Callithrix jacchus: one gene and its partner. The protein of the gene in region 2 binds, or shares a complex with, the protein of the main gene of each other region. Links are inferred from orthologs where the notes say so. Each region holds a gene or a part of one and is shown on either strand. Other genes may lie near its edges. The genes, in order: NUP42 and GLE1.

The links.
Region 1: the proteins of GLE1 (region 2) and NUP42 are in contact, whole or in part, in a crystal structure (PDB 6B4I), measured with the Homo sapiens proteins. The link is inferred for Callithrix jacchus from reciprocal best matches to the Homo sapiens genes GLE1 and NUP42. Residues at the interface, in NP_001003722.1 of Homo sapiens: Ile385, Ile593, Leu598, Asn599, Trp602, Arg603, Ala606, Gln607, Leu609, Asn610, Gln636, Tyr637, Gln638, Val639, Gln640, Lys643, Met644, Ile646, Leu647, Glu650, Asp651, Tyr652; in NP_001357375.1 of Homo sapiens: Asp185, Asn186, Val187, Leu188, Phe189, Gln202, Phe203, Gln204, Ser205, Lys206, Lys207, Phe208, Leu210, Gly211, Lys212, Ile213, Pro214, Leu215, Lys216, Pro217, Pro218, Leu222, Leu223, Asn224, Val225.

What each region holds. Positions count from the first base shown.
Region 1 is NC_133512.1:34,948,707-34,953,076, forward strand, and holds the start of NUP42 (nucleoporin NUP42), read right to left. Parts: upstream 2,898-4,370; 5' UTR 2,796-2,897; coding exon 2,675-2,795; intron 1-2,674.
Region 2 is NC_133502.1:177,137,022-177,140,464, reverse strand, and holds part of GLE1 (mRNA export factor GLE1), read right to left. Parts: intron 1,129-3,443; coding exon 1,046-1,128; intron 482-1,045; coding exon 418-481; intron 1-417. UniProt on the Homo sapiens protein: Required for the export of mRNAs containing poly(A) tails from the nucleus into the cytoplasm. May be involved in the terminal step of the mRNA transport through the nuclear pore complex (NPC).

The DNA of each region.
Region 1 (4,370 bases), on a different chromosome or scaffold from region 2:
AGCAATTCACCCGCCTCAGCCTCCCAAAGTGCTGGGATTACAAGTGTGAGCTACTGTGCCCAGCAATTGTTCTTTTAAATCTCAAAAATCCTAATTGTGGGCTGGGTGCGGTGGATCACGAGGTCAAGAGATCGAGACCATCTGGGTCAACAAGGTGAAAACCTGTCTCTACTAAAAATACAAAAATTAGCTGGGCATGGTGGTGTGTACCTGTAGTCCCAGATACTCGGGAGGCTGAGGCAGGAGAATTGCTTGAACCCAGAAGGAGGAGGCTGCGGTGAGCCGAGATCGTGCCATTGCACTCCAGTCTGGGTAACAACAGTGAAACTTGGTCTCAAAAAAAAAAAAAAAAAAAATCCTAATTGTGTCTTAGTATGACTAGACATTATAGAAAGATTTAACAAGCATTACATTTCCACTCATTTTAAATGACAATCTCTTCATTTTTGATTTACATAGTTAGGTTGTAATATCAACAAATCACATAGTGGTCAACTGCATTTTTGTTTGAGATTGAGAAGAAAATAATATAGCGAAATATAGAAAAATAATGATATTACTATATTCAGCTAACATAAACTTATTAAACAACTGCAGATAGTGAAGTTGATAGAGGGCATGCATCATAAATCATAAACTCCTTCAGGATAAGAACTTGTGTTTTCATCATTCTTTGCTCCCCTACCAGGCCTTGTATTGTAGTAAAGGCTGAAAAATAGACACTGAATGAAAGTTTTTTGAACATGAAAGATTAGCTTCTACCCCGTTTTTGGATAGATGCCTAAGTTTATTTGATTCAGTCTTTTCTTTGGGCAACCACCTACACAGCTATTTTCATAGGGAGATTATACCAGGTATTCACATGTGAACAAAATGGATGTAGTTCCTCTATGAGTAGCTTTCCAATATTTCATAAATATAAAAATGAGCTAAAAAGATTTTCTCCTTTACACACACACACACACACACACACACTTAACCACTTTAGTAATCTCATTTACTTATCACTTCCTAGTTAGTGTCAAGAGTAAGGTAACTCATCTTGTTTCTAACTGAATTAGGTGATACAGCATGAAATATATTAAAAGTTGGAATGACATATATGCCCACATGTGAAAGTTCATCCTGCAACTCTAACTACCTTAATAAATCGACAAAGAAAAGAGATTGCTACACTAGATCCCTCAAGTAGGAGTTAATAGTATCTTATTCTAAAGGGCATGTTGGTGGGCACCTGTAATCTCAGCTACTTGGGAGACTGAGGCAGGAAAATCGCTTGAGCTAGGGAGGCAAAGTTTGCAGTGAGTTGAAATCCCACCACTGCACTCCAGCCTAGGAGCCAGAGCGAAACTCCGTCTCAAAATAAAAAAAATAAAGGTCAGATGAATAGCCCTAAAGGAGGGGAAGGAAGGGAGACAGCACCAAATTATTAACTCGGTCTTTAAAATCTTGTGTTGTTCTAAGGTTTCATGTCTGAACTCTCCTTTAAGACAAAAAGTTCTGACAATGATCTAGGCCCAGGGAGTAGATTCGACGTGGCCCCCATCTCCCCTTTCTACGTAACCCGGAGAGTTCTTTTTTTTTTTTTTTTTTGAGACCGAGTTTCGCTCTTGTTACCCAGGCTGGAGTGCAATGGCACAATCTTGGCTCACCGCAACCTCCGCCTCCTGGGTTCAGGCAATTCTCCTGCCTCAGCCTCCTGAGTAGCTGGGATTACAGGCACGCGCCACCATGCCCAGCTAATTTTTTGTATTTTTAGTAGAGACGGGGTTTCACCATGTTGACCAAGATGGTCTCGATCTCTTTACCTCGTGATCCACCCGCCTAGGCCTCCCAAAGTGCAGGGATTACAGGCTTGAGCCACCGCGCCCGGCAACCAGGAGAATTCTTAACTGGGCGTCCCACCTTCCCAATTTCACCCCAAATTTATGAGCAGGTGAATTTTTCTGCGGTATGCCTCTATAGGTTTTATCAAATCTTCAAAGAAGGCCACAACTTCTCTAAAATGAGAAGTCCTGATTCTGACCCAAGCTGCTAGCCTCACCATCGAAAAAACAACTTAGTAAAAATTATATTCAATGACGGTCATTCACCTACAAAGTAATTTCGATAGGTGCTTCCGATTTAAAAACTCACTGTTTCGTACACAAGCATCCAGGCCCAAACCCCAGTTCTCAGAAGCTCAATAAAAACCGATCACATAGCCGGGCGCGGTGGCTCACGCCTATAATCCCAGCACTTTGGGAGGCTGAGGCGGGTGGATCACGAGGTCAAGAGATCGAGACCATCCTGGTCAACAAGGTGAAACCCCGTCTCTACTAAAAATACAAAAATTAGCTGGGCAAGGTGGTGCGCGCCTGTAGTCCCAGCTACTCGGGAGGCTGAGGCAGGAGAATTGCTTGAACCCAGGAGTCGGAGGTTGCGGTGAGCCGAGATCGTGCCATTGCACTCCAGTCTGGGTAACAACAGCGAAACTGCGTTTCAAATAATAATAATAATAAGCAGATAAAACCCTCGGTTTACAAACATCGTGCAGGGCCCGCTGAATGGGGCCGGCAAGGCTGCGACGCGGGCACGTTGGGGTCACCAGCACCGGGACACACGCGGGTCGCCTGGTCCCCGCCAGCGGGCCCATCCTGGCTTGGCTACCGCGGAGGAGTCGGAGGAGAGTCACCTGAAAGCTGCTGCTGCGGTGGTTGCCGTCCTCCTCCTGCACCCCTGGCACCTGGATGTTCGTTCCAGCACCGATCTCCAAAGCGGCACCGGCCTTGAAGGAAGAATTGACAAATGGCCATTTCGATGGCGTCGCTGACGGAGGAGTCTTCGGTCGGCACCGGTCAACGCCAGTCAGTAGGCAGAAAACCCCAGGCGTCCGCGGCGCCCGGCCGAGCTACTGTGACGTCATCTTCTCGCGCCTGGGGAAGGCTTTTTTTCTTCCTGTCTCGCCCGGTGCCATGAGAGGTGTGAACTTGAGCCAATAGGATCTGAGCCAATTGAACTTGAGAAGAGCGACCGCTCTGTCGCTTTGAGGGTGTCCTGGGAAGGCGGGATACTTGAATGGTTAGGGCGAAGAACGGGAGGCGCGTTTGACCCCAGTGCAGGGCCTCGGACTACAGGAAGGTTTGAGGTTCAAAATGAGAGGAAGGCGGAGCAGGCAAATGCGGAATTCAGCAAGTCCCTGAGAGAATTAGTTGTGATTTGATAGACCGAGTCGTTCTAGTAAGTCTGCCCGGCCTTTCATCTGGATGGATAACAGAGTCAAATAAAGCTAGACGTGACGTTAACAGGAAACAATGTTTCTTTTAGAATATACTGCAAGGGAAAACTATTACTTCTTCGAGTGAGTACTATATTCTTACTACTCACTGAGAAACCGTGTTCTTGAAAGTCCACATAAACATTGCTATTTGAAATTATATCAGAACAAGTGAAACGTCCCATACTTACCTGGAGGCTCTAAGTCTCTTTGACGCAGAGAAGCAGCCTCAGTTTCTAGGCAGGTGTAGAGCTTCAGATAAACGGTTTCTGAAAACATTCTATATTTTCTTTTTTTTGAGACGGAGTTTCGCTGTTGTTACCCAGACTGGAGTGCAATAGCACGATCTCGGCTCACCACAACGCCCGCCTTCTGGGTTCAAGCAATTCTCCTGCCTCAGCCTCCCAGTAGCTGGGAATACAGGCGCGCACCACCATGCCCAGCTAATTTTTGTATTTTTAATAGAGACGGGGTTTCACCTTGTTGACCAAGATGGTCTCCATCTCTTGACCTCGTGATCCACCTGCCTTGCCCTCCCAAAGTGCTGGGATTACAGGCGTGAGCCACCGCGCCCGGCCACATTCTATATTTTCTTAATCTTGCAGTTTCCAAGAAAACATGCCCTACATTCAATTCTCGGTCCGGACCTGATGTTAATGCCTTTACACACAGCTATGCTTTGAGATTTTGTTTAAATTTCACCTAAACTTCTCTCTCCCCACTCCCCCCCGCAAAAAAAACCCTACAATAACTACCTTTTATTTTGTACAGTGAGACACCCCACAGCTCCTCTGGTGTGCAGTCTCAGTGCCTGCAATAAGTCAGTAAATCTGACTTTGTTGGATTACAGATTTGTGCTGGTGGTTTTAGGAGTATTGGAGTGGAAGTGAGCCATCATTCTTGCTCATGTAATTTGTTTGGATTTTGAAGACACTAGAATCTACAGGACTGGGAACTACTTGTCCAAACTAGTTTTTTATTTTCTTTAATCAATGTAATTCATTTATTTTGAAACAAATATATGGAAAAGTTACAAATAACAGTACAAAGAACTTTTAAAAATCTTTTTTGTCCTCTGTCCTGTGGTCAGAGAAGATTTCCTTTGTAGTACAAG
Region 2 (3,443 bases):
AGGAGAATCTCTTGAACCTGGGAGATGGAGGTTGCAGTGAGTCAAGATCGCGCCATTGCACTCCAGCCAGTCTGCATGACAGAGTAAGACTCTGTCTCAAAAACACAAAACAACAACAACAACAACCAAAAAGAACGCTGGCAACATGCAAAAAATATATTAATGAGAGGAGATACATTAAATATATTTTATTCATCTTGGCATAGCTTTCTTACAGGCAGTATGCAGAATGATACATATAAAGAGGTAATGGCAACCCTTACTCCAAAGGTTAAGAGAGAATTAGGAACAAAAAGAAGTGTTTGGAAAAACTAAGGAAGAGTGCAATCAGAAAATCTGAAGGTCCAAGACTTGTCAGACACAGGTGCATTCCAGCCCAACAACAGTGTGGGACATGTTGGTCTAAAAGCATCTTACCTCTAAGAACTGCTTGAGGCGTATGAAGGAACCCATCTGTCCTGAGCTTGTGATAGCTTCAATTCTACAGGGAGAGAAAGAAGACACACGGATCACAGCTATGGTATACACCTGTCTTTTGGAGACAGTGTCTCACTGTGTCACATAGGCTAGAGTGCAGTGGTGTGATCATAGCTCATTGAGGCCTTGAACTCCCAGTCTCAAGCGATCCTCCTGTCTCAGCTTCCCTAGTAGCTGGGACTATAGGTACATGCCATCATGCCTGGCTAATTTTTTTTTTGTAGAGATGGGGTCTTGCTATATTGCCTAGGCTGGCTTTGGACACTTGGGCTCAAGTGATCCTCCTGCTGTGGCCCCTCAAAGAGCTGTAATTATAGGCATAAGCCACTATGCCCAGCCCTTAATTTGTGTTTTTGTTTAGACAATGATATTTAAAACAGACTCTCATTCAGGTTCAGAAGCATTTATTCAAATATCAACGAGAAGGACTGGTAGGAAGATGTCATTCTTAGTACAGGTGTTTTCAACTTCAATCAAAACCAGCAGGTAATAGCACCCTTTGGTATCTGAGGCTGGTTATGAGTTTTACTTACTTAATCCCCTGTTGTCTGACTAACAAGCCTGATACCTGGGAAAGTAGTCCTCTTTGAGGAGAATTAGCATCTTCCAGAACTGAACCTGGTACTGCTTCATGAGGGCATTCCCACACACCTAGAGGGAAAGACAAGCACTGTCAGAGCAGAGAATGAAAAATTCACACTCACAGGACAGATTCATAAAGCACAATCAGCCCTTCATCTTTCACACCTATCAAAACTTTCAGCCACAATGCCACTAAACTTGCTATTAAGGGAATAAATGGAAATACCCAACTTTCTTCTAAAGCATTTCTCTTTATGCAGCAATACCTTCATTTAGCCAGACAGTCAGGTCTTAATGAACTAATCTTCTTTTTCTCTACTGAATGGAAGCCTTCCTAAAGGGATGGTATACCTCTCAAACTTAGTAAGCACAGTATACAGAATACCACTTGTGTTCTCAAATGATACAGGATCATTGTTCATGTATGGTGACTCCAGGAGCTTTTTATTATTATTTTTTAATAGGGTCTTATTCTGTCGCCCAGGCTGGAGTATACTGGTGTGATCACAGTTCACTGCAGCCTCAACCTCCCCAGGCTCAGGTGATCCTCCAACCTCAGCCTCCCTAGTAGCTGGGACCACAGGCACACATCACCATACCCAGCTAATTTTTGTATTTTTTTGTAGACATAGGGTTTTTACCATGTTGCCCAGGCTGGTCTTGAACTCCAGGGCTCAAGTGATCTGCCTGCCTTGGCCTCCCAAAGACTGGGATTACAGGTGTCAGCCACTGCACCTGGTGACTTCAGGAGCTATTAAGGTAACTAATAGCTTAATAAGGAACTACAGCATTATAGGTCAAATGGTTCCAGATTTGTTATGGCAGGTACCCCAACCTTTCTTCTATAAAAACTATCTTCTTGGATGAGTACAATAGCTCACTCCTGTAATCTCAACACTTCGGCAGGCTAAGGTGGGAGGATCACTTGAGCCCAAGAGTTTGAGGCTATAGTGACCTATGAACATTGCACTCCAGCCTGGGTGACAGAATAATATCCTGTTTCAAAAAAAAAAAAAACCTCACAAAGTGTCACCTTTCCATAGAAACTCTTGCCCTCACCCTATAATAGTGGTCCCTTATAGGCGGATAGAAGTGTTTATAGAGCCGTCTGGAGGTGGTGGCTCACACCTGTAATCCCAGCACTTTGGGAAGCTGAGGCAGGCGGATCACAAGGTCAAGAGATTGAGACCATTCTGGCCAACATGGTGAATCCCTGTCTCTACTAAAAATACAAAAATTAGTCAGGTGTGGTGGCACTCGCCTGTGGTCCCAGCTACTTGAGAGGCTGAGGCAGAAGAATCACTTCAACCCAGGAGGCTGAGGTTGCAGTGAGCTGAGATTGCGCCACTGCTCTCCAGCCTGGTGACAGAACAAGACTCTGTCTCAAAAAAAAAAAAAAGAGAACTGTTTATAGAGCCTTCTACGTTGGTCAGATACCCGACCCCCAGGCTGGCTAATCATATTTTCTCTCCTAGGAATTAGGAATCGGAACAGTGAAATGCCAGTCCCACCACACTGAGTGACCACACTGAGGCTGAGTGACATAGCCTAGAATAGCCACTTTCTTCACTGTACACAGAGAAACAGGGCAAATTGGCCTACAGACCAGGAATGAGGCAACCTGCAGGAAGGTTAAGAGCATATGGCTCCAAGGAGAAACTGTCTTGGTGCCTGGTGACATTTCAGTTCTTGGTTCTAGGCCCTACTGAGATGCACCTGCACATCCTATTCTTGTTTCTGGGAGTCTTTTTTTTTTTTTTTTTTTTTTGAGATGGAGTCTTGCTCTGTCTCCCAGCCAGACTGGAGTGCAATAGCACGATCACAGCTCACTGCAATCTCCATCTCCCAAGTTCAAACTGTTCTCCTGTCTTAGCCTCTGGAGTAGCGGGGATTACAGGCATATTCCACAACACGTGGCTAATTTCTTTTGTATTTTTAGTAGAGAGACAGGGTTTCACCATGCTGGCCAGGCTGGGCTCGAACTCCTGACCTCATGTAATCTGCTCACCTTGGCCTCCCAAAGTGCTGGGATTACAGGTGTGAGTCACCGTGCCCAGCCTGGGAGTCACTTCTTTTTTTTTGAGACCGAGTCTTGGTCTAACACCAGGCTGGAGAGTGCAGTGGCATGATCTTGGCTCACTGCGACCTCCGCTTCCTGGGTTCAAACAATTCTCCTGCCTCAGCCTCCCGAGTAGCTGGGACTACAGGCGCATGCCACCACACCCAGCTAATTTTTGTATCTTTAGTAGAGACGGGGTTTCACCATGTTGGCCAGGATGGGCTCAATCTCTTATCCTTGTGATCCGCCCGCCTCGGCCTCCCAAAGTGCTGGGATTACAAGCTTGAGCCACCGTGCCCGGCCGGGAGTCACTTCTATATCCCTA